Schizosaccharomyces pombe: one gene and its partners. The main gene of each other region encodes a partner of the protein of the gene in region 2 in a complex. Each region holds a gene or a part of one and is shown on either strand. Other genes may lie near its edges. The genes, in order: mrpl40, mrpl16, mrx14 and mrpl27.

What was found.
Region 1: mrpl16 (region 2) and mrpl40 share a complex: the UniProt entries of both Schizosaccharomyces pombe proteins name them as parts of the mitochondrial large ribosomal subunit.
Region 3: mrpl16 (region 2) and mrx14 share a complex: the UniProt entries of both Schizosaccharomyces pombe proteins name them as parts of the mitochondrial large ribosomal subunit.
Region 4: mrpl16 (region 2) and mrpl27 share a complex: the UniProt entries of both Schizosaccharomyces pombe proteins name them as parts of the mitochondrial large ribosomal subunit.

The regions. Positions count from the first base shown.
Region 1 is NC_003424.3:2,669,665-2,675,438, forward strand, and holds mrpl40 (mitochondrial 54S ribosomal protein uL24m), read left to right. Parts: upstream 1-4,128; 5' UTR 4,129-4,315; coding exon 4,316-5,155; 3' UTR 5,156-5,274; downstream 5,275-5,774. Other genes in the region: mrpl28 (mitochondrial 54S ribosomal protein mL40), read left to right, coding at 149-505; Brix domain-containing protein Rpf1, read right to left, coding at 865-1,785; SBDS family ribosome maturation protein Sdo1, read right to left, coding at 2,507-3,119, 3,314-3,441; ESCRT III complex subunit Did4, read right to left, coding at 5,435-5,734. UniProt on the Schizosaccharomyces pombe protein: Component of the mitochondrial ribosome (mitoribosome), a dedicated translation machinery responsible for the synthesis of mitochondrial genome-encoded proteins, including at least some of the essential transmembrane subunits of the mitochondrial respiratory chain.
Region 2 is NC_003423.3:3,506,474-3,512,797, reverse strand, and holds mrpl16 (mitochondrial 54S ribosomal protein uL16m), read left to right. Parts: upstream 1-3,664; 5' UTR 3,665-3,864; coding exon 3,865-4,512; 3' UTR 4,513-5,275; downstream 5,276-6,324. Other genes in the region: ARS-binding protein Cbp1, read left to right, coding at 459-2,027; protein tam12, read left to right, coding at 2,895-3,095; lys4 (homocitrate synthase), read left to right, coding at 5,491-6,324. UniProt on the Schizosaccharomyces pombe protein: Component of the mitochondrial ribosome (mitoribosome), a dedicated translation machinery responsible for the synthesis of mitochondrial genome-encoded proteins, including at least some of the essential transmembrane subunits of the mitochondrial respiratory chain.
Region 3 is NC_003423.3:3,801,263-3,807,548, reverse strand, and holds mrx14 (mitochondrial 54S ribosomal protein bL34m), read left to right. Parts: upstream 1-2,520; 5' UTR 2,521-2,647; coding exon 2,648-2,974; 3' UTR 2,975-3,218; downstream 3,219-6,286. Other genes in the region: SPOM_SPBC21C3.06 (uncharacterized protein), read right to left, coding at 91-459; U2 snRNP-associated protein Sap62, read right to left, coding at 715-800, 864-1,305, 1,622-1,747; cqd1 (ABC1 kinase family protein ), read right to left, coding at 3,219-4,664, 4,720-5,352. UniProt on the Schizosaccharomyces pombe protein: Component of the mitochondrial ribosome (mitoribosome), a dedicated translation machinery responsible for the synthesis of mitochondrial genome-encoded proteins, including at least some of the essential transmembrane subunits of the mitochondrial respiratory chain.
Region 4 is NC_003424.3:1,431,019-1,436,115, forward strand, and holds mrpl27 (mitochondrial ribosomal protein subunit L27), read right to left. Parts: upstream 2,381-5,097; 5' UTR 2,358-2,380; coding exon 2,181-2,357; exon of another isoform or gene 2,136-2,180; coding exon 2,031-2,135; 3' UTR 1,755-2,030; downstream 1-1,754. Other genes in the region: SPOM_SPAC3A12.06C (sodium/calcium exchanger), read right to left, coding at 1-1,637; DNA-directed RNA polymerase II complex subunit Rpb11, read left to right, coding at 2,935-2,984, 3,030-3,119, 3,166-3,397; SPOM_SPAC3A12.08 (uncharacterized protein), read left to right, coding at 4,121-4,765. UniProt on the Schizosaccharomyces pombe protein: Component of the mitochondrial ribosome (mitoribosome), a dedicated translation machinery responsible for the synthesis of mitochondrial genome-encoded proteins, including at least some of the essential transmembrane subunits of the mitochondrial respiratory chain.

The DNA of each region.
Region 1 (5,774 bases), on a different chromosome or scaffold from region 2:
CTCTACTCAGGTTTTTTAGCTTTTAAAGGAAGGTTTTATGTTAATACTTTTGAAAATTAAATTTTTTTCTATCAACGTGAAAAAATTCAAGGAGTACTTTAGTTTGTGTTGAAAAGTTTTTTGGCAGATGCGTTCTACGTTACAATTAATGGCTAAGGCCTCAAAGGGAAAGCACCAATCTGGTCCTTCTAATCATAGTGAGTCAATCGATTTGGTTAGAAAAGCTCTTTACGGAAATAAAAAAGTCAGGTCTTTGAAAATGAATCCAGACATGTGGGAAAAACACGAAGTTATTAATCGCGCTTGGCGTATACACGAATATCGACAAGAAAAACAAAGAGAGAATCTTCTAAAAAACCAATTCTCTGCAATGAAAATTGCTTGCGAGGAACTGAAGCATACGAGTGAAACATTATATAAAGCCGCAATGAGCGATTCAATTAACAGGAGGTTCCCCGTAGAAACGAGGACTCCTACGGACACACCACCACGGCTTTCTAAATAGGCGAGCGCCTTTTATGAGTATAATTAATATCTTCGGTAGTGCTCGAAAGTGTTATAGACAAGTTCAAGTATATAAAAAAATGTATCACTAATTACGAGCAAGTATAATCTAATTAGGATTTTTAAATAAACCAATAATTGAATTAAAGAATTATGTCTCCTAGTTTCTAGTCTACATGTATCATATTATTCATTCCCAATTTCACCGTAAACGAATGATACAAAATGAAAGGCCATGCTTTCTTTTTTAACCAAAAATTTAGAATTGTTACCAAACCCAAACCCTACCTCGAAAACAATAAAATATGACCCAAACACTGTTTTCTTTTTACAACGTGTCGCAGATGAGACAAAATGTCTTTAAAGCCAGAATTTACGTCTATCTGATTCTTCACCGGCATTGCTCTCGAAGAAAACCTCCCCTTCTTTCCTATCCCATACTCCTTTTTGAACCATACGAAGACGCATGGTAAATCGAGGACCTAATTCTTGTAGCCCAGTTCCAATACCATCTGGCATATTCGATTTTTCACGAAATGCATAACGGTGTCTTCGAAAAAAAAGAAAATCTCTTTGACAATGGATGGTAACAACTTGTCGCCCTTGAATTTGAGGCGTTTGAATAAATAATGATTGAAAGGCTCGAGCAACAGTCATACCAAGTCTCGTTGAGAAATTGTTGATTATCAGTTCTGGAATATGACCAGTGGAGCGGCCATGATTTGAAATTTCCTTTGCTGTTTGGAGATTCGATAAGGTAAAATAGAACGAAGGGCCATTCGGTAAGTGTACAAGGGTTAATGCATTTGTTTTTTTACGATCCTCATTTAATACCAGTAAATCGGTGTAACCACGCTTAGCAGCGGCTTCTGCGATTTCATGAACTTCAATATCTCCGGTTCTTTTTCGAAATTCAGCATTAGGAAAACAATCTAAAAGCTCAGATGCAAAATCATAGCATTTTCTAGAGGCTCGTTTACTCGTGGTTACCAAAAGTTTCGGAACTTTCCTTTCTTCACTAAAGTATGCAGAAAACTCATCATCTTTTAACTCCGCCTGAAGTTCCTCATCGGGTTTATCCTCTATGATAGTTTCATCATAAACTCGTTTCGATTCAATAGTAGCGGGAATATTTTCTGAAAGTCGCAATCTCTTCTTTTCCGGGTCTTTTTCTTCTTCTTTAGCACGTTCTTTTCTTCTTTCAAGCTTGTCCTTATTTTTTTGATGAAGAGCCTTCATATACTGCTGTTGGCGGACAATTTTGTTTTTAATCTTCCCCATTTTAATAAGTTGCGTATAATCTCTCAAAATTTAAAATTTAAGAATGAAATAATTTAAATCCTTACAAAAAATTGCAACTAAAAAAAATTGAGATAAGAATGAGCAACTTAAGTACAAATAAAAGAGAGTTAAAAAAAAGTATACGATGGGTTTGAAGTCTCAAAAACTTATTGCACAATCCAATTCCATGTCGCAAAATACCGAATCTGAAGAACATGCTACGAATTTCGTCAAATTTGCTTAAAAGTATTAACGCAGTATTATATCACACTGCTGTTAAGCAAAATGTATACTTTAGTTACAATTACTGTTTGTAAATAGGTGATATTACAATCCGAAATCGTACACTATAGATATCCTCATCATTAAATTGTTGAACAACTGAAAGCATTGTGGTAAGGGTTCAACATTCTACAAATCACTCACGCTACTTTCATTTTCACATTTGAATGCGTGCTTTGAATGGAACTAGCAGAAATGAAAGGGACGATAGTCTTTTAATTTCATTTCTTTACTTTCTTTTTACTTTCTTCTGAACTGAATTGCTATATTGATAAATTAAATAATGTTCTGGATAACCAGAACGAATCAGAACGTGTCTTTTAATAGCAAAATTTTTCAAAACCAAAAGCCAATGAACAATGTAAGCAAAAAGGAGGAGGAAAACAGATTAGGGAATTCATATAGAGCGTATTTTCAGAAAGGTTATTTGTATACCTTTTTAAGTCCTAGCCTCGCTCATGTCGAGTACTTGAACCATACCTCGGTTTTTGGTCTCATTTCGGACAAGTTCATCTATCAACTTATAATTCCCTGGAATCACGAGAGCTATGCACTCATATTCATCATCAATGTTTTCTTCTTCAATTTCATCAGCTAAAGAGCGTAAACGCTCTCGTAAAGCTTTTCCCTGTTTGACATCCACCACTATTCTGATGCGCATACGCGCACGGACGATAGGAATTTCGTTTTTTTCTTGCAATTTCTTAATAGCTTCCAGAGCTTGGGACTTTGCAGTTTTACTGGTAGAGACAGAAAAGCCACAATCAGATAATGCTTTTTCAATTATAGATGCTGGATAAGGTCGTTTAGAATTAGGATCCATGCACATCGCAGTAACATGGGAGACAATATCGCGATAAGTTGAAGACATTTGATGATGTCTTTCCTTTTCACCTACTTGAAAATCTCCTTTTTGCAAAATTTCTAAAATAATTTTATCTATATCATCTGTACCAAAAGCCTTTTTCAAATCCTGTCGGCTAGCTACATGTCCTTTAGAAACATTGTTAAACACATTGTGGATTTGTAAAACTTCATCCAGATCTGTTTCACTAAACTTGGTTAGCTATGGTTTTGATCAAAAAAAATTGTACGAGTTATTGAGTTGTTGACACCAGTCGACAAGACACGTGAATTCAAAAAGATAGCTTGTTATAATTTTCTGCTGATCTTAAAGAATATTTATCTGTAGCAAAGGCTGACTCTCACTAATTACAGTAGCTTAATTTAATGAAATCATGCATACATTTTGTTTCTCCATTCTGTAACTTTATTTTTATAACAAGCAACTTCAAATCTTTTCCCTCCTTTCTTATATTTTACAACGGACACATTGGTTAGACGAATTTGTCCAACAGGTTGACTAATAACCATTTTGCTCAAGATGGGTACTTTTTTGGATTATTTTTTGTTATTCTCACCTTCTCTAATTATAGTGTTTTAATCCAACGCCTAAATCTGTTAAACAGGTTAACAATCCATACACTATATATCGGTATTTAGATTTATCTGAAAATTAAACAAAAATTTGATATTTGCGAGCCTGAAAGGCAAAAGGATGGTTCCAATCATTTTTCGGATGTTAACATAATCTTGGAAAACCTTATGGTTAAATATTTAATATAAGTGCAAGTTATTTGTCGGGTTTTCTAAACCAGTTTACAAATCACGAATGATATTAGGCTTTTAAAAATTATTACCTAAATTCAGCAAATACTAAAAAAAAAGTAGAAAACAATAGAAGTATCGACTAAGTTTGAGTTATCCGACAAAACTTCAATCTTACATCCTAGTATATTAACACAACCACTTGCGAAGCGTTTCTATACGATTTCGCTTAACATTTTCAATTTTAAACTTATAAACAAATAGATAGAATGACATTGTCTTAACGAGTACACATCATTTTAATGTTGGTTAACGATGTCGAAGCTGTAGAATATTGCGTGCAAAAGCAAAAGCAAATTTTAAATAATGAAACTTAACCACGTATCGCAAAGTTGCCTTTGTGTAACAATGATCCATTTCTTTACTTATTGACGAAGAGAGTACTCAAATAACAACTGCAAACTACCAGCAGGATACACATTACTGTTTCATAGCATTCTTATTTTTTCTCTTATATTTGGCCATATTTATCCTGTCTAGAGGTTTTACTTTCGTTCCAACATTACAGCGTAGTAAATTCCTCTGTACAAGTGATGTACCACCGTTAGTTATTTAAATATTATAAAACTTTTTGAGCAGAATGAGAGACTTGCGTAAATTAATTCCAAGGCTCCGAGGCCCTGGTACTAACGTCTTAAAAATGAAAAAGCCTTTACCGTTGCATATGCGAACCAAAATACGCGAACACCTCAATAAATCTGATCCAACTGTTAAAGACGATAAATCCGCTAAACCCGAGTTACCGTTTGGAAAGCCAGCTGACAGAGTCCCTTTCTGGCATATTTTTAAAGGGGATTATGTATATGTTCATCAAGGACCTCTGAAAGGAAAATGGGGCCGTGTTGTTGAGACAAACAAATACACAAACGGTATTACCATAGAGGGGGTTAATGTGAGATCCGTCAAAGTACCAATTTTTCTTTTGCGAAATAAGCCTGAAGATAACCAAGATCCAGTAATTGATATTGCTCACGAAGTACATTATGCAAATGTGCGTCTTCTTGCGCATGCAAAGACTGACGCCGGGGAACCAGTTCTTATTCCAGTTAAGCTTAAAAAGCATTCCTCAACTAATCTCCGGTCCATTATTCGGCCTAATATTGAAGGAGTACAAATTCATACTATTCATCTTCCTCGTCCCAAGACTGAAGATAAGCCTAAAGATCCCGAAGGTAAACTCGATACTAAGAATCCAGTAGTTAGTAAAGTTACTTGGTCTCCTAGCTTATCGGAGCCTCCTCTTCCTCCGTTTGCAATTGGCGATTTACGAGCCAATTGGTCTCGCCGTTTAGATCGTATATGGGGATATAAAAAGAACAATGATGATTTTACTGAAATTGCTAAAGATCTTGTCCGAGCAGAGACTGCTGCTGAAGATTTAATAAAAAAACCCATCTCTCCTAATACTTACAGTGATTAAAACAAAAACGATGTTTGGTCGTTGCAAGCATTTTTTTATAACATTACATAATGATTCACAATCTCTAGGTTATAAAGCTTAATAAACTTTTGTAAACTCTTCTAAAAAATTTTTCAAGAAACTTAAATATATTTAACTTAGTAGAGTAAGTGATAAGTGATTTCAATGAAAGTGAAGTATTTGAAGTTTACACGTTAACCTAGAAAAACTTTTACTAATCAATGTAGAAAATCTATACAAATCAAGATCTTTAAAGTCCATTAATCTCTTGTGCGAAAATTAACGCTTTGCCAGTTCATCCAATCTGGCTTGTAAATTGTCTTCAGTCTTTAACTCCGGTACCGTACCAATTTGGGTCGCAGCATCTGGCAATCCTTGAGACAAATCGACTCCAATTTCATCCAACACTTTATTGACAAGTTCATCAGCTTCCTCTTCGTCATCTTCTTCTAAAGCATCGTCCATATTTTCATCAATCATTTCTTGTCTCTGTTCCATAATTTCATTTTCACGCTCGAATTGCTGAGTGATACGAGCCATTGCCGGTATATTCATGCTTTTGTTCATCCCTGTCAATAACTTTGTAAAAGTTAGTTCTATATTTTTCGATATTAAGGTG
Region 2 (6,324 bases):
GGAATTATTTTTTTTTTAATTCCTTGTTCCATTTTTCCTTCATCGCACTATTATTGAGCAATTTTACGCAATTTCACAAATATACTAAATACAAAACTAACAATACTCTTACTGGTAATCCAGTTTATGTCGACCAAAAACTTTTATTTGGAAACCATGAAATAGCACCAGGAATAATTCATTTTTTTATACCACTGCAAAAAATTGGCCCAGATGAATTAGGAAAGCCAAACCTGGTACGACCATATGTTGATTTTTGAAGATGAAACTCACTATACTGTTTACCGCTGTTTGTTTCATCGCTTAACAGATATTAAGCTTAGATATTACGTTACGCTGTTCAGTATAATATTACGAACTCGTGACTGTTAGTGTCGTTTTATTAAGGCAAGAAACCTTTGCTCTGCTATCCTTATATTTTCACTTCAAGACATTAGAAATAATAAAGCTATCGAGTAATGGGAAAAATCAAAAGAAGAGCCATTACAGAACATGAAAAACGCGCTCTTAGGCACTACTTTTTTCAACTTCAAAACCGTTCCGGTCAACAAGATCTTATCGAATGGTTCCGTGAAAAGTTTGGCAAAGATATTTCACAGCCTTCCGTCTCTCAGATCTTATCCTCCAAATACTCGTATCTGGACAATACTGTAGAAAAACCATGGGACGTGAAACGTAACAGACCACCGAAATACCCTCTTTTAGAGGCCGCTTTATTTGAATGGCAAGTTCAACAGGGTGACGATGCTACACTTTCCGGTGAAACAATTAAGAGAGCCGCCGCTATTCTTTGGCACAAAATTCCCGAGTATCAAGATCAACCGGTTCCGAACTTTAGCAATGGATGGTTGGAAGGTTTCAGGAAGCGCCATATACTTCATGCAATTAATGAACAACCCACCGAGTCTGTGGTTTTGAATAATACGGAACCACCTAATGATCCTCTCTCTCGTGTTTACGATGTCACGCGATTAACGAATATTAATGATATCTTCACAATGCAAGAGACCGGTCTTTTTTGGAAATTGGTTCCAAATGGCACTCCCGAAGTCGAAGATATAAAAGGTATTACTCGATTCAAAGCTCGTATTACACTAACCGTGTGTTGTAATGCTTCGGGAACCGAACGTTTGCCTTTATGGGTTATTGGATACTCACAATCTCCCAGAGTGTTTCGGGCTGCTAATGTAAAACCCGAAGTAATGAATTTCAAATGGAGAAGTAATGGTAAGGCATCCATGACCACAGCTATAATGGAGGAATGGCTACGTTGGTTTGATGCGTGTATGGAAGGTCGCAAAGTCATACTTCTTATTGATAGCTATACTCCACATTTGCGTGCTGTTGAAAACATTCGAAACTCTGGTAATGACCTCAGAAATACAACTGTAATTACTTTACCATCTACTTCAGCCTCTATTTCCCAGCCTTGTAGTGAGGGTGTGATCTATGCTCTAAAAGCATGCTATCGCAAACACTGGGTTCAATATATATTGGAACAAAATGAGTTGGGACGCAATCCCTATAATACTACTAATGTTTTAAGAGCTATTTTATGGTTGGTGAAAGCATGGACGACAGACATATCACCAGAAATTATTGAAAATGCCTTCAATCTTTCCGGTGTTCTTGGTCTATTCAATGAATCTGCCGTTACCTCGCGTGCCTTGGATGAAATGATTCATCCACTTCGTGAGCTCGTCTCAGAGTTTTCTGTTCAAGCTGCTATGCGTATAGAGGATTTTATAAGTCCTTCAGAAGAGAATATTGTTGATTCCTCTGAGGATATAATCAATCAAATTGCTTCGCAGTACATGGATGATCGCGCTTTCGAGACGGACGAAGAAGAATCTACTGAATTCCAGATTACCACTAAAGACGCTATGAAGGCGATCGAGCTTTTGCTAAACTATGAAGCTCAACAACCCGATGGAAATCCTGCAATCACGATTAGTCTATTAAATTATCAGAAGCTCCTTGAGGCAAGGGGTGGTAACGTGAATCTTTCTCGTTTGAGAAGCACCTAATGTCTGTATTCGTTGTGCATATTTGACTTTTTTGTTTTTGGTTTGTATTTTAGTAGTTTTAATTTTCTTTTTGTTGAGTTTGGATCCCTTACCTAATGAGTAATTTGCTTTTATTCCTTCATTTTAACTTGTTGCTCTATTTTTAATACCCGATTGCAACTGATGAGCTTATTTGATTTTTCTTTGTTTTTATTTTAATTTTTTTAAAAAAACCTTTTCGAAGTTTCTTAAACGCAAAATCGCTATACGAGCTAATGAAATTGAATATTATACATTTTGTAATTCATGTCTCGCAATCAAGTGCTTTTAATATTGATACTATTTATCTTTAAAAATAAAAACCGGCTAAATGTAAGAAATTTTTTTTTTTTATTGAGGCATATTTGTTTTTTTAAGGTCGAGATTAGATTGTAAATAGTTGAACCGTAGGGGTTAGAGCTTCAAAAAATGATAAATTATTACTGTGAAACCCGAATTTAATCCATTTACGCATGATTGATTTTATAAAAATGTACTTCTCTTTTGCTAACTGCTTCGTACTGTAAATAAGCTTACTTTACAGTTAAGCATTACAAAGGTATATGATGTAATGATATAAGAAATAATCAATAACGAACTTTGATGTTATACGTAACATGAAATAACGATTTCTCTTCGAGACCTAGACTAACATGGCGATGTTCATAACTATGGCGAGTAAGCACATTTCTATTTCTACAAATAACTCAAATCCTTTGCTTGAACAATCAAGCGTGTTATAGCTTATTGGAATTTTTTAAGACTTTTTACAGCAAGAATCAGTAAAATCAGAGAAATTCGAATTGGCAAGTCTTCAAGGTTGTGTCCATTCGGAATATTTATTAAAGTATGTCAACAACTAGTTCTTCGTCGACGTTTTCTACGAGAACAGCGTCTTTATCCCAATCATATACAAATTCATTAAAGAAGGAAGCTGCTCAAAAGACGTTAGAAAACTGGGAATATCAGGCTATTCACGCTTTGCAGAACAATTCTTCTTTTCCCGCGATACGTAGATCAATGCGCAAGATTTTAGCAGATCCTTCATAATTTCCTAATCCCATTTTTTGTTTTTTTTATAATCATGATGTGAGCAAGTTCTTGCTACAGGGGACAAAAGAGTTGCGCTTGGCATTCTTACGTTCGATTGTCCATACAATAATGTTTAGCTCGATAGAGGATCCTTCTAATGGTTTATAAACGTACATCAGAAGATTTTTTTAAGACAGTCTTAACATTCCAAATACCAATACTGAGGCACTAAACAGTTGAACGTTTTGTTATTCTTCAAGGACAAGAATTCCTTGACAAGAAATGAGCTAAGTATATTATTTGAAATAGCTAAAATAGTCACTGTTTTATTTCTATTCACGCATTGTTGTCATTGAAATGATGATGCTGAATCAAATAATGTGTTGAGCATAAAACGCACGTTAAATTCAGTATCTATGAAAATAATCTTTTTTGCCTAATGCTTAAGATAATTTTTTTTTTTTTTTTTACAAACTAATAAACAAACAAATAAATAATTATAGCTAATGTTCAGTTATTGTCCGGCTTCTTCCCGGAACTTAGTTAGGATAAGTGGCAGCAACACATACAGAATCCAAGTATCCTTTAACCCCCTTCTCATACAAAAAATAGCAGGCCTATTATCGTTACTATTGTTACCATTTTCCCATAAAAAAAGAAATATAATACTTAAATTTGATTATTTTGAATATTTCTGAGTAACTTTAAAGAACGACTTTTGCATGATAATAAAAACACGTTGTTTTATGACTTTTTGAAACCCTCACAACATAAAAACTTATATAATATGGCTTTACAACAATACAATAAATTTCCTTTCTTTTTTTCTGGTATTTTAGGACCTACGAGGTTGAATGGTTTACAAATGCCGCCTATCCAAACGATGGTTCGTTGGGGACACCAGTATGCACCCAGAAGCATCAGAAACCAAAAAGCTCAGAAAGGAAGAGTCCCTATACCCATAGGAGGTTCACTACGTGGTACTCAACTTGAATGGGGAGAATATGGTATGCGATTAAAAGATCGAAGTATAAGATTTCATGCCAAGCAACTCGAAACTGCCGAACAGATTCTCAAGCGTATATTAAAACCTATCAAGGCTGCTCGGGTATACACACGTTTTTGTTGCAATGTGCCAGTATGCGTAAAAGGAAATGAAACTCGTATGGGCAAAGGCAAAGGAGCTTTTGAATACTGGGCTGCACGGATACCAATCGGTCGTGTACTTTTTGAAATTGGTGGTGATGGAATGCGTAAAGAGTTAGCTGAGCATGCATTGAAGCAAGCCGCTTTTCACCTTCCAGGCAAGTATGAGATTATCGTCAAGCAAACCCCCAAAAGATTGGGTACCACACTGATTCATGAAACCCCCATTACCACCGAGACAAGCAAAATGAACTATCAGGAAATTACCAGTACTACTACAGCTGTTTAAGGGAAAAGTTAAGCTGAATTTATCTATTTTTAACCCATTCAATAATTACTTTTCTGTCATACTTCTCACTTACTTAGTTTGTGAACTTAATGCTGCATCTTTGTACAGACATTCATGAGCTTCTTTTCAATCGTTGTAGTTATTCTATGTTTTAGTGAATGAAATTTGCCAGAAATGCCTTAAAACATTGTACATTTTGCGCTATGTTTCATTATCTATTTTCGAAATGGGAACTTTCATCCCCAATGAGAGAGTTGCTTAATTTTTGTTGGCGAAATATGAACCACTTTTGATTCACTTTGATTACGGCTCGGCAATTTCGTTAAAACATCAAATTTCTTTGGTCCTGAAAAGTTGGTAACGGTAATGAGTGTTTTTGGCGAAAATCTTATTTGCTGCTCTCTGCTCCGTTGGGGACTTTTTTTCGGGATGTAAAAAACGGCACGTTGTATATGTGCGAAATCATGAAGTGAATCAAAAAGTACACTTTAAATAATATGAAACTGATTTTACTATGGAATTACGAATGAAATTATTCAAATCAACTCCACTAAAATATTTACAACGTTTACAAAAAAAATCACTATACCTTCTAGAACCTAGCTTAGCAATCCACTGTTGAGTGGATCAGTAACTTAATCATTACTACCATAGATCTGATTAAATCTCATCAAGATCGATCGGGATCTGTAAATCAATTTTCTACCATAAATTACCGCGGTTGCCTACGAGTTGGTAGTGACTGTTTCTTTCAGTAAATAAATAGGGTAGGGTCGAATTTTTTGAAATTCATACATACGTGCATCCTTGCTCTTAGTTGTCTCCTCTACAGTGATAAAAGATTTAGCTTAAAAAATTCAAAGCTAACAGGTTTCGGGACAATAAGTTGTTGAATTGTATAATTTATATATTTATACTTAATTCATTTTAGAAAATTCGCTTTTCCTTTTCCTTTTTTTGCATTTTAAAGTCATCAACATGTCTGTGTCCGAAGCTAATGGTACTGAGACCATCAAGCCTCCTATGAATGGAAACCCTTATGGTCCCAACCCATCTGATTTTCTTTCACGTGTCAATAACTTTTCCATTATTGAGTCTACTCTTCGTGAAGGTGAGCAATTCGCAAACGCTTTTTTCGACACCGAGAAGAAAATTCAAATTGCTAAGGCATTGGACAACTTTGGTGTCGATTACATTGAATTGACTTCTCCCGTGGCTTCTGAGCAGTCCCGCCAAGATTGCGAAGCTATTTGCAAATTGGGCTTAAAGTGTAAAATTTTAACTCATATTCGCTGTCATATGGATGACGCTCGTGTCGCTGTTGAGACTGGAGTTGATGGTGTTGATGTTGTTATCGGAACTTCTCAATATCTTCGCAAATATTCCCATGGAAAGGACATGACTTACATTATTGACAGCGCTACCGAAGTTATCAACTTTGTCAAGAGCAAGGGTATTGAAGTCCGCTTTTCATCTGAGGATTCTTTCCGTTCTGATCTTGTCGATCTCCTTTCTCTCTACAAGGCTGTAGACAAGATTGGCGTCAACCGTGTTGGTATTGCTGACACCGTTGGTTGCGCTACTCCTCGCCAAGTCTACGATCTTATTCGTACCTTACGTGGTGTTGTCTCTTGTGATATTGAATGTCATTTTCACAATGACACTGGTATGGCTATTGCTAATGCCTATTGCGCATTGGAAGCTGGTGCTACCCATATCGATACTTCCATTCTTGGTATTGGTGAGCGTAATGGTATTACTCCTCTTGGTGCCTTGTTGGCTCGTATGTATGTCACCGATAGGGAATACATT
Region 3 (6,286 bases), 300 kb from region 2:
AACGGTATCATGACTTGACTGAAAGAGGGAAGCCGTGTACATTTTAAAAAGTGTAAAATAAACACGTAATTACTTTTTATAGTATACAATTTAAGTGATACTAATTTTGTGATTAGGAAAGCTGGTAATGTCATCCTTAACTGGCTTTGCTCTTGCAAAACTAAGCTTTTCTCGAGCATAAAGACCAAATTCTTTTATATTTTCAACACCAATTGTTCGCATTATCAAACAGGAAGCGAAGGTAAAGGTTGAAACAGTTAATACTGATGTAAATGAAAACAATTTCCAAGTAATCAAAGTTGGATGCACCATTTTCTCAACAACTGGGTTTGGAGAAAAAAAATTAGGCCGTTTTAATATTGTCCGTTGTAGAACCCATGTAGACCAAAGGAAAGTTGAGCTAGATATCGCAAAAATCGCGTCCACTGTAGCGACATTTGCTAATTTATCGAACGCCATACAGTAGAAGTTAGCCAACTTTATCAATTGGTACTTCCACAAATCTGGGAAAATAAGTATATAAATCACCAAAATAGGTTTAGCTAGCACGGTTCTTCTACAATTCACGTGTGGAGAAACAATTCAGAATGATTGAGTTCGAATTCTTTTACACACATAAAGAACTGCGGTATTGATAAATTGGGAGACTGAGCGAAATATTTGGAAAAGACATTTTGTTTCATAAAAAGGAAATTTAGGATAGCAGCTCAAAATTTACGATATTTTTGTTAAGTTGTAAAAGAATTGGATAGTATATGTAGGTGCATCCCAATAACTCCAAAATTTCCCGGGTGCACGATCTATTTCGTGAGCATCTGCGCAACAAAGTTAATATAAATAAAAAATCAGTAAAACCAACATACCAATTTTAAAGGCTATTGATTCGTATGGTTCAGCAGCCACTACCAGATACTGAAACTTTCGGTCAGGAGCTTCAACACGCTGTTCATAAGCACTCATAATTCTGTATCTTGGCTTAGCGTTCACTTCAATATCTGGATACTTTATTTGGAAACGTAGGCCAAATTTTCCGCTTTCGGCTTCTCTTATTTTGGACACTTTATAACCGGGTCGACCAATTTTTACGACACTTTTTTTAACCTGGACATGGGATTGAGAAATGCCCAACAACACTTGTGGTGCATTCTCTTGAGACTTTTTATTTTCGAGAGCCTGTCTCCTGGCTAAATTTGTCTGGTGTTTTTTACCTTGTGTATGGGTAAGGTAAGAGTTTTCATTCGCATGTGTAGTGAGGCAAAGACGACATTCAAAAGTGCCTAAATGATTTTTCATCAAATATGGATCCTATAAGAGATTAGCAATAGAAATATCATCGCAAAGAGTTTGAGGAGGAAGCTTCAAGGTGATTGACAGGGTAAAAAAAAGATGTCCAATTAGTGTAACATGCAAAACAGCAAACAAGGAAGTAGAAAGCAAATCCTTTTCATTTATTATTGTTGTTATTTTAGTTGTTATAGTTAGCGAATTTAACAGCAACTACTAATAAACTTCAATAATATGTAACATACGTACATGTCTTACTTTACACGATTAATTCATCGGTAATTATAATTGACATTCAGCACTCAAATTTTCAGAATTCAGTGGTTTTTAAACATACCTTTGATAAATCAATGGTTTCTAGCGCCAATTTACGAAGACGCTCTCTACGTGCAGCATTTGTTTCTTGATAGCCAGCAACGCCTCCTCCTCCAAAACGAACACCTGCGCGGTTTTGATAATCCATTTTTTAGTTCCTAGAAAATCCAACACTTATTTTTCTGTACTTTCACAATGACAATAAAGTCCCCTAAAAGACGGTGGCAGAGGCTGTACTTTCGTGAACCCCTATGTTTAAAGAAATATCGCAATGCAGAACAATACGCTAAATTCTCATCGTCGATGCCTTTTTTTTAACAAATATTTTAAATAGCAGATTAGAGCTCCTTTTCTCCATTTTATTATGTCACGTAAAAACAAAAAAAAATAATAACTTTTGATAAATTTAATGTATTGATGCTCCCATATATGAGTATATTTAATATGCTTTCAATATTTAAAAAGCCGGGACTGCAGCAATTTGCTTCCAATTTAAAATACTGGGTATTATTAATAAAATAAAATAGATAAAAGAAAGTATAAGATGTCATTTAACTGCTAAAACCTTTTTTGTACTATAAATTATCACTTTTAGCCCATGAATCGAATTCATTAAACTGATGGATTTTACTATTTGGTAATCTCATGCCAATTATTTGTTGGGAAAAAGCAAAAGCGATATCAAATTTTAGGGGTTCAGGTTGCTTTCTTTAAGGGCGTATAAAGAATGGTTAATGAACTATTTATTAATAATAATAGTATTATTATTATATTACCGACATTCCAGTGAATTGAATGAAACTATTAAAACGTAGTTATTGGATTTTAGCAAAGATTTTAATTTATTGTAACACAAATATTTGAAATTTAACACTTCGAATGTCAAACGGTGCTACACTGATTCACTTCAACCTTTCTAATAACCAGCTACTCCATCACATCTCAAATCTCTTCATTTTGCACATTTACGTTCATATATAATTTTTATATTATTTTTTGAAATTTTTTCTCTTGAAATCCAGTCACCTGCTTTCATTCCTATTGCTTTATGATGTTTATGCAACAATTTCGAAATTTGTTGCATCCTGCCATGAAGGGAGCCAGGAATATTTCAATATTAGCTGGAGGAGGAACTATGAGAGGGTTTCCGACAAGAAACCCTTTTAATACCGCTACTTTATACAGTTCTTTACCGACTATGAACATCTTCGGTCAAATGCAGCAAGTGCGTTGGAAAACGTATGGAAACGAGTATCAACCCTCAAATAGAAAGCGTAAAAGAAAACACGGATTTTTATCTCGAATTCGTTCTGTTAACGGTCGTCGTGTTTTACGAGATCGAAGACAAAAAGGGAGGATGTATCTGAGCCATTGAGTACATATTATCTTTTAATGGGCTCTAATTTGCATTAGTAACCTCTATCAATTCTTCATTTAAGTAATGCTTTCTAGTTTGTGATACATTTTCTTTCCATTGGTTCTTTGTTTAATTTTACTTGTTGAACTTTGAACTTTAATAACTTCTTTAAAACACGAGTTTATAAAATTTATTTTCCATGTCTGCGACTATATTTTTCATGAACAATTTTCCATCATTTATAAAATAAACCGTAATTTTTTTATATATTGGGTGCGATCATATCGGACTTAACCCACTTTTCTACCGTTTCTTTAGAGGTGCTTAAAAGCAAAAATTGTCTAGCTTCTAAAGCTATCCATAATTGAACCATTGGGTTTGTGAGTGAGACATTGGATTTCGATGAAGCAGAACGAAGATATGGTGTAGCATTACTTAATAGATCCATTTCTGGATATAGTTGGCGTCCAGCGCCTTCAACTAAAAGGATAGATAGCACAGTATTTGCGAAATTTGCTTCAATTCGAACATGATGCTCTCTCGCCATAGTCATTACTTCTTGTAATATAGTTCCTATTTGAAGTGATTTCAGTGAAAGCGTGCTCTTTTGAATTTCATTCAACAAATGTTCCATTTTAAGAGCAAATATGTCTTTGTTTATAACGCGTTCTGTCTGCCTGCTCCTTTCAACCATCAACAGTCCAGCCTCATAGCCATGGAAAGTAAGTACGGCTTGAAACAGATCCAAAAAATTTTTCTGATCCTGCGTACTAAGTTTCGTTACTAATCCAGCATCCAAAAATACTAAAGTCGGTCGATAGCCCAAGATGTTTAATTCTTCCATAGCAGAATCCCATTCCTCCGTCGAACATGTACTTAGAATTTTATAAATTGAGTCATTAATCTCATTATCTTGATTAAAGATTGTTTTAGGGATTCCTTTGTAAAATTTAACAAGGACATTACCCGGATGAAGATCAGCATGTGTAAAGTTGTCAACAATAAGCATTTGAAATAATGCATTATTTCCTGTGTTAGCTAACAACTTGTTAAATGGTCCTGACTTATGTTTGAGGAACGCGCTTAATGGGATACCCGGCATATAGTCTTCTAGTAGGATTTGATTAGTCGTGTAATCATCATAGGGAGCTGGAAATTCAACATATCTATTTCCTCTAAAGTTAAGACGGAACTGGTTGAGATGAAGCGCCTCATAATGTAAATTCAATTGCTGGTTTAACATTGCCCCAAATACCTTAACTTCGTCGGGCAGAGAAAGCCACTTCATTGAAGGTACCAAATTAATTAATTTTGCGAAGAAACCTAAGATTTGTAAGTCTAAAGAAATGTATTTTTCAACATTCGGGTGCAAAACTTTAATGGCTACATCTTGAGTCACTGGCGCATCAGAGATATTTTTCTGTCGAAACCCTATAGATTGTAGCATACTTGTAAAGTAGGAATTATCTTGCTGCGTAGCTGCTTTCTTGATGGTAGCCGTATAGACTTGAGCAATTGCTCCAACACCTATAGGTATTGGGTTAAAATTAACAAAAATTTCCTCGATAGATTCCACTTTATAAGTCTTGCAGATGACTGATTGAGTATAGGCAAGGCTGTGGGGCGTTACATGTGAATGTAATTTGGACAGTGTTTTACAGAAAGCAGGAGGAAACAAATCTGTCCGTGAAGCAGCCCATTGTCCCAACTGCAAAATAAAAAAATAATGTTAGTAACATGATAAGCGTAAATTCAAAACGTACCTTGATAAACGTTGCTCCTGCTCTTTCTAATTGAGTAACGAGGAAACGAAGCCAAATGGATACGGTTAAAGACGACAAAGATCGAAGATGCAGGAAAGAAATAAGAGCGATAAACGGTAAGGTAATAATAATTGGAGAGAAAATAATAAATAAATTAAATGACCTGAGGAGAATATTAAAAAATTGTTTTATTTTTCCAAAAATAGAACGAGGTCGATTGCTTCTCTCTTCTAATTCAAGTTCGTCAAAGGAGAAAATATTATTCTTTCGATTTTTGACTCTGTATAAAATCCATAATCCTCCGACCGTAAAAGGGAGGACAAGAAATGTAATCCTTAGTATCCTCCATTGCTTCTGGTCTTCACTTTTTTGTCGGGTTGTAAACTTTCTTGCAAATATAGGTTTGGGGAATAAAGATATATGCTTCAATCGATTAACCAGTACGTGCTTTTTTTTGTATGGTGACCAAACTGACTGTGTCCCGCATAACCTTTTCCATCTTGTGTTCTGCGAGTTAACGACAGGAATATAATTTCTTTGAATAATGAAAGCAAAACGAGAGTTTGCAGAAGGAATCATGCTTAGACTAAGTCCCGAACGTATGTGAGAATTCCAGTGAGAAAAACTAATCATGTTCACCAATTATTGACTTTCAGAAGAGCATTTCCTTATCAAGAATCAAAAAAATAAATAAACTAATTACAATGGGTATTTTCGATTGAAAACACTGGCAAACCTGATAAAGAAAATAGGAATTGTTCAATAAATGTGTATAGCAGCTACTAAAAGAGGTGTTTCAAAGAATTTAGGAAACCCTGTCAACCTTTAATATCTTGAAAATAAAGAATGCACCAGTTCAAAAATATTGCTCAAATTTACGTGTCACTAGTGTCTATTGGTGTCAACGTCGAATGACGCTGTCTACTTGTGACTGGGAGAAAGAAAAATAATAATTGTTAGCCAAAATGAAGACTGTAATAATAATCAATTCTTTCATTTTATAAATAAAATATTGACTAATTAATGCTCAGTTCCTATTTGGATTCTATAGAATTGAACTTACAGTATGATAAACTGGATATGATCATCTAGTACGTGAAGAAACATTTTTTTATTCATTATTACCAATAAAATGTAATTTATCAAAATTTCAAAGTTCTAATTGAAGGGAAGATTATTAAAATATAAAAAATGACTGATTATAGGAATCACATTTTTTTTCCTTATACACCTATAATCGGTAATATTCAAATAAGTTAAATAATCAGTTCATGGTAGTATTCTGCTGCCAAAGAGAGATAATTGTAAAATCGCTAGCAGTTGATAAAATAAAGTATAAATTGAAATTAAAATGGAATTGTTTGTACTGAATTAAAAAGCTTTACCATCATTACTTCAATTGCCGTTAACTCAGAGACTAGCATAGAGTTTATCTATAGAGACTCTTTGATTGATTTAATAAAAAGCCTTTGATCGACGATGGTTCATTCGCCAAGTTTCATTGATGAGTAACAGTTGACTGAGAATATTTCACCTAACCCATTCTTGATAAAAGTATAAATTGGAA
Region 4 (5,097 bases), on a different chromosome or scaffold from region 2:
GTGATGGAAAAGGTCACAAAGGCAAAAGGAACGAACACACATTGTAGTAAGCGAAGTTTACGGGACCATGTTGGTTTTGATGGATTACAGTTAGATACATCCATATGATAAATGGGATCAACTGCCAATCGCGGGCATTGATATACAGGCAATGCTAACGTAAATATTAAAACAGATGGAACAGCTAAGACGTCCATTAACTTCTCATACCATGATTTTTTGGCAAAATTTCGCAAAGTAGGGAAAAGCAAAGAACTAAGTGATGGCGAGGGTAATGGAAAGTCTTCGTCAGTGTGAGTTGGGTGACGAAAGATTTCAGAAACAAGGGATTGCACGCTATTATTGGCGCTAAATCCCAAATTGGGATAATTAATTCCACTCACAGGGGTGTTAATTCCACTGGGATAAAAATCGCTTTGAGAATGGCGAATATGCATAGGATGCATAGTAAGATCACCGTCTTGAATATTCAATGGATCAAGTGAGCGTAATCCCGGATGTTGTTCCTCATTCGAAGATCTAAAGTCGAGAGCAGCAAGCAACGAAGGACGCACAATGGGGCCCGATGACTGACTTAGCACACGGTTAGAATGAGTGTTGTTTTTGTGAATAAAATCATGGACATGGGAATGTTGATATGAGGAATACGAATTTGAAGGGTCATTATCGTTAATGTAATGTATTTTTTGGGTCTTTCTAGATGCTTGGGCAGGCAAGAGAAATGCCTCTTCGGATAATTCAGAATCCGTGCTACTATAGGAATCCGAGTCATCGAAAGAATTTAAAACCGGTGAGTAGACTGGAAGGGAGACAGGCAAATAATTCTCATCAGTGATTACCACGCTAACACCAGAGCTACCAGAGAAAAAGACGAAAAGAACGTAGAGTAGATAATAAAGTATCATTACGAGACTCTGCCAAATACTCAACGAACCATCATGCAAAACAAACATTATAACAAGTAAAATAGTACCGGTAAGGAAAGCAACATCCCGAAGGAAGTGACGCCGAGGTATTTTAAATGGCTTTATTAAACATACGCTGCCAGCAACTATGGCTACGATGAAGAATGCAGAGCCCAAAAGTTCCCCAATAGCCATTCCCCCACTGTTGACACGTACAGCAGCGAACGTACTAAGAATATCAGGAGATCCATTGCCTAAAGCAAGAAAAGTAACGCCAACCACAGAATCGGGCAATTGAAGTAGCCACGAAATAGTAACCAAATTGGTACTAAAAAAATCACTAGCAGAAATTCCGATAGTTATGAAAAGGAAAATCAGCCATCCCACAATTATTGATAACACTGGGAATCGGAGACTGTTAATGGTACAAAAATAAAATTCAACGTAATCAAAGAACCCACTAGCCTCTCCCTTACAGTAAGCCTTTGCAAACCGACATTGATTAGCAGGGGTAATGTTTTTGATATCATTGCATGTAAGTAAAATTTGGTCGTTGCTATCATTTAAGGTATTTCCGCGCTCAAAAAGATGGACGGTTGAGTCCGAAGTCGAGGATACTGAAGCAAACGCTTTGCTAATCCGATGAGTCCAGAATAAAATGTAGGCAATGCCAAGGATACACCAAAGTAATATTAGTCTGTATTTCTTCAAGAAACATGAAGTTTTCGACATTTTTATACCTGATATCCAAGATATAGAAAATCCATGCTTAAACCGCATTGCTAGGTATTAGCAGCCCTTTTTTTTCTAAGATAGATGGGATGAAAAAGACTAATCCTATAATAAATATATAAATGCGCAGTACTCAAGATTGCCCCCAATTTTGGCAGAAAAAGTAAGAATGTAACTAGTATATTTAATAGAAGCAAACGTCACAACAGAATATCGATAAATATACGTGTCCGTAAACAATAAATAACAACAGTCAACGCAACATAAGGTATCGTAACGTAGAAATTTCTCCTTTCAAAGTGTATGCCCAATCATTAACAGATAGAATAAAGCAACAGTTGAAAAGGGTACCAAAATTTTTCAAAACAATAAAGAATGAGGCTGATAAACATACTAGCTATGAGCAAGATCAAAATACACAGCTCCATCCAACCCATTTGCACCTTCAGGATAAGTTCCTTTAGTGGCTTGAATTCGACGAGAAACAAAAGGCAAAAGCTTTGAAAGTTAATATAAAACAATATTCATTAATTTACAACATACCTCACAATCACCAGAAGGAGGCACAAACGTGCGAACACGCGACCACTGGACAAGAAAACCTCCATGCCTGGTTTTTTGACCCATTTTCCCAGTTCTTGTACCCTTGTAATACTGATGACCCAACTTTGTGGTCATTGGCAAGCGTCTTGCTCCAAAACATAATAATGATTGATGCATTTTGAATAACTCTCGATTTGGGTAAATGGAGGGTTTAAGTTGGCGCGTTTTCCGTCATAAAAGAAAAGGTAACGGTATAAGGTAACAGTCAAAGCGAAACATAGAATGTAAACAATAAAAATATTTGTTTAAAACGAACAAACGAATTACATTATGAAACTAAAAAATGAAATAAGTACGAAAAACTATTTTTTTTTCAACATTTAAATGAGCTTTCTTGTTGTTTATCTTTCTGCACAGTTCAATGAAAACAAGTACGGTTAATCTACAATTAAACGCCTCAAAATATGCCTTTAAAAATTTTAGTTATTAAAATCAGTTATTAAAAAATACTGTTACATCTCCCATTTCATTACTCGTTTGAGCCGATTTCCAACAGATAAATATATATTAAGTGTCCGTTCACGTTCGCGTTATTTATAACGAAATACGATGAGTTGTGGAATAAAGTGTTAAAGCTTTTGTTAAATGGCATTACGATTTATAGTGATGCTTAATGTACAGAACGTGGACAAAACCCTCGTAAGCATCAACATCTTACTTCTTCTTCAGCTAGTCGGCTGAAAACGTTGGCATAATGAATCAGCCAGAACGGTATGAGCTCATTGAGCTTATGGGACTCCCCAAGTAAGGAATAAACAATTTTACAAGGAATTGCATTAACCAGTGTAGAGTCACATATGAGCTCGATAGCAAATCACCTAATGCCGCAGTAGTTACTCTTGAAAAAGAGGATCATACATTGGCTAATATGCTTGCAAAGTAAGACTTCTAAATTTTTTTTTCTTTTCTAACTGCTTTTTCGAAGTCAACTCCTATCTGACGAAAGGGTTCTTTTTGCTGGTTACAAAGTTCCTCATCCATTAAATCACAATTTCATACTTCGTGTACAAACCGTAGAAGATTGTTCTCCAAAGCAGGTTATTGTTGATGCTGCTAAGTCCCTTATTACTCATCTGGAAGAAATCAAAGTTAATTTTATGCGTGAATGGGAGTTGAAAATGATATCTGTTGAAGGCGTTGAAATGGAGTTTTCCTAAAATCCACGGCTGCTTTTTCTCTAATATTTATTAGAGTTTTGTTTCAAAAAATACAGAATACCCTCTGTATGCATCTTTATTACAAAAATTTTGACTTTCGTTTTCGCAACTTCTGTAATTTGGACCGAAGTCGTATTAAAAGGGAAAATAAAAGTTTCTTTCTTTTTTGAAAACAGATGCTTTAAAAAAGGTGAAAGTTCTCCGATCTTTTATTGTATATGCTTCTTCATAAACCAACTAGAAAACTGCAGCAATGGCGATGAAAGTTTTTCTAGGTACCTGGATTATTCTCTGATATTGCTTTTTTTTTCAAAGTTGAATTTTGCTGAATGTAATCGAAGTGATTAATTTCCTACAGTAGGGCAGAGCATCGATTCTTACATTCAATCTTAAAAGAAATAAATTAATTAATGTTGTACTATTACAATTTATGTCATTGAATTATTCACAATCATCATTTTCTCTCCAAATGCTTTGCTTCAATTGCATTACGAAATTTGTTTATTCCTGTATTAGTTATTATTATAGAATACTTTTTGGATATGTAAGTAATTATATTTTCTTAAAATATACGATAAATATTCTTGCATAAATTAATGATACCCTATGCTTTGCACATATGCTCCATCTGCGTATCAGTTTTATAACGTCCGAATATCGCTAATAGTAAACGCTCCTATTACATTGTGACGAAAAGTTTGAAACTTTGTTCAATTTTTGATTATGAGCTCTAAATTATTTCAAAATAAGCTGTTATTAGCAGGGATTGGGGGATTTATGGTAGGCGGTCTAGCTTCTTGGGTTGTTTCCAGTGATGCCTATACAGCATATCATCGACTACCAGCAAGTGCGAAACATATTTCTGAAATTTCGAAATCGCCTGAAGCTGTTCAAATGATTGATAACATTTATCGCGAACGTCAACGCAGCATGAAAATGGAGGAGCATCCGTCCTTGCTTCAATCTAAGTATCCTTCCAATTTTCTTTCCTTTAAAGATGGATTGATACCTGTATTTAAAACATTTTATGACCCCGAACATGAAGAATGGATCAGCATTGGACTCATGGGTAAGGCTTTGACAGGATATCAGAAACTGGCTCATGGGGGCGCCATTGCAACTTTATTGATCGAGTCTCTTGAGACTGTTCGGAATCTTAGATCATCGCAAGCAAATTCACAATCAACACAGCCTCGGGACCCTATTCCTACTGAAAACTTCGATGTGCGTACTCCCAGTTATAGCATAAACTACAAAAAGCCTGTGCCTGCTGGAGACTGGGTAATCGTTCGAGTTAAAGACGATGTTGCACGATTATACAATTCTAAAAGTCAGCTGTTAGCTGAAGCTTTGGATTTACAATCGTAGTCATTGTTAAATGCCATTTATGATATTAAAACTGCAAACCTTAACCTTCTAATGATCATACGAAAACAATGATATTTTGTTACTTGGATTTGTTGTGATTACAATTCCAAAAATGCTTTTACTTAACGTGACTGCATTAACAGATTAAACCAGAGACAAAGGTCTCTTTTATGAAATAGATACAATCTCTTTGAGATCTATGTCTCAAGTGCTATATCCAATTAGTTAGTTATCTACTGTGTACTAAATAGTAAATTTTCTATAACAGTTAGTAATTGAACGTCAAGTCCTAGCCAAGAGAAGCATGTTTTGAGTCGTTCCATATAGCATAA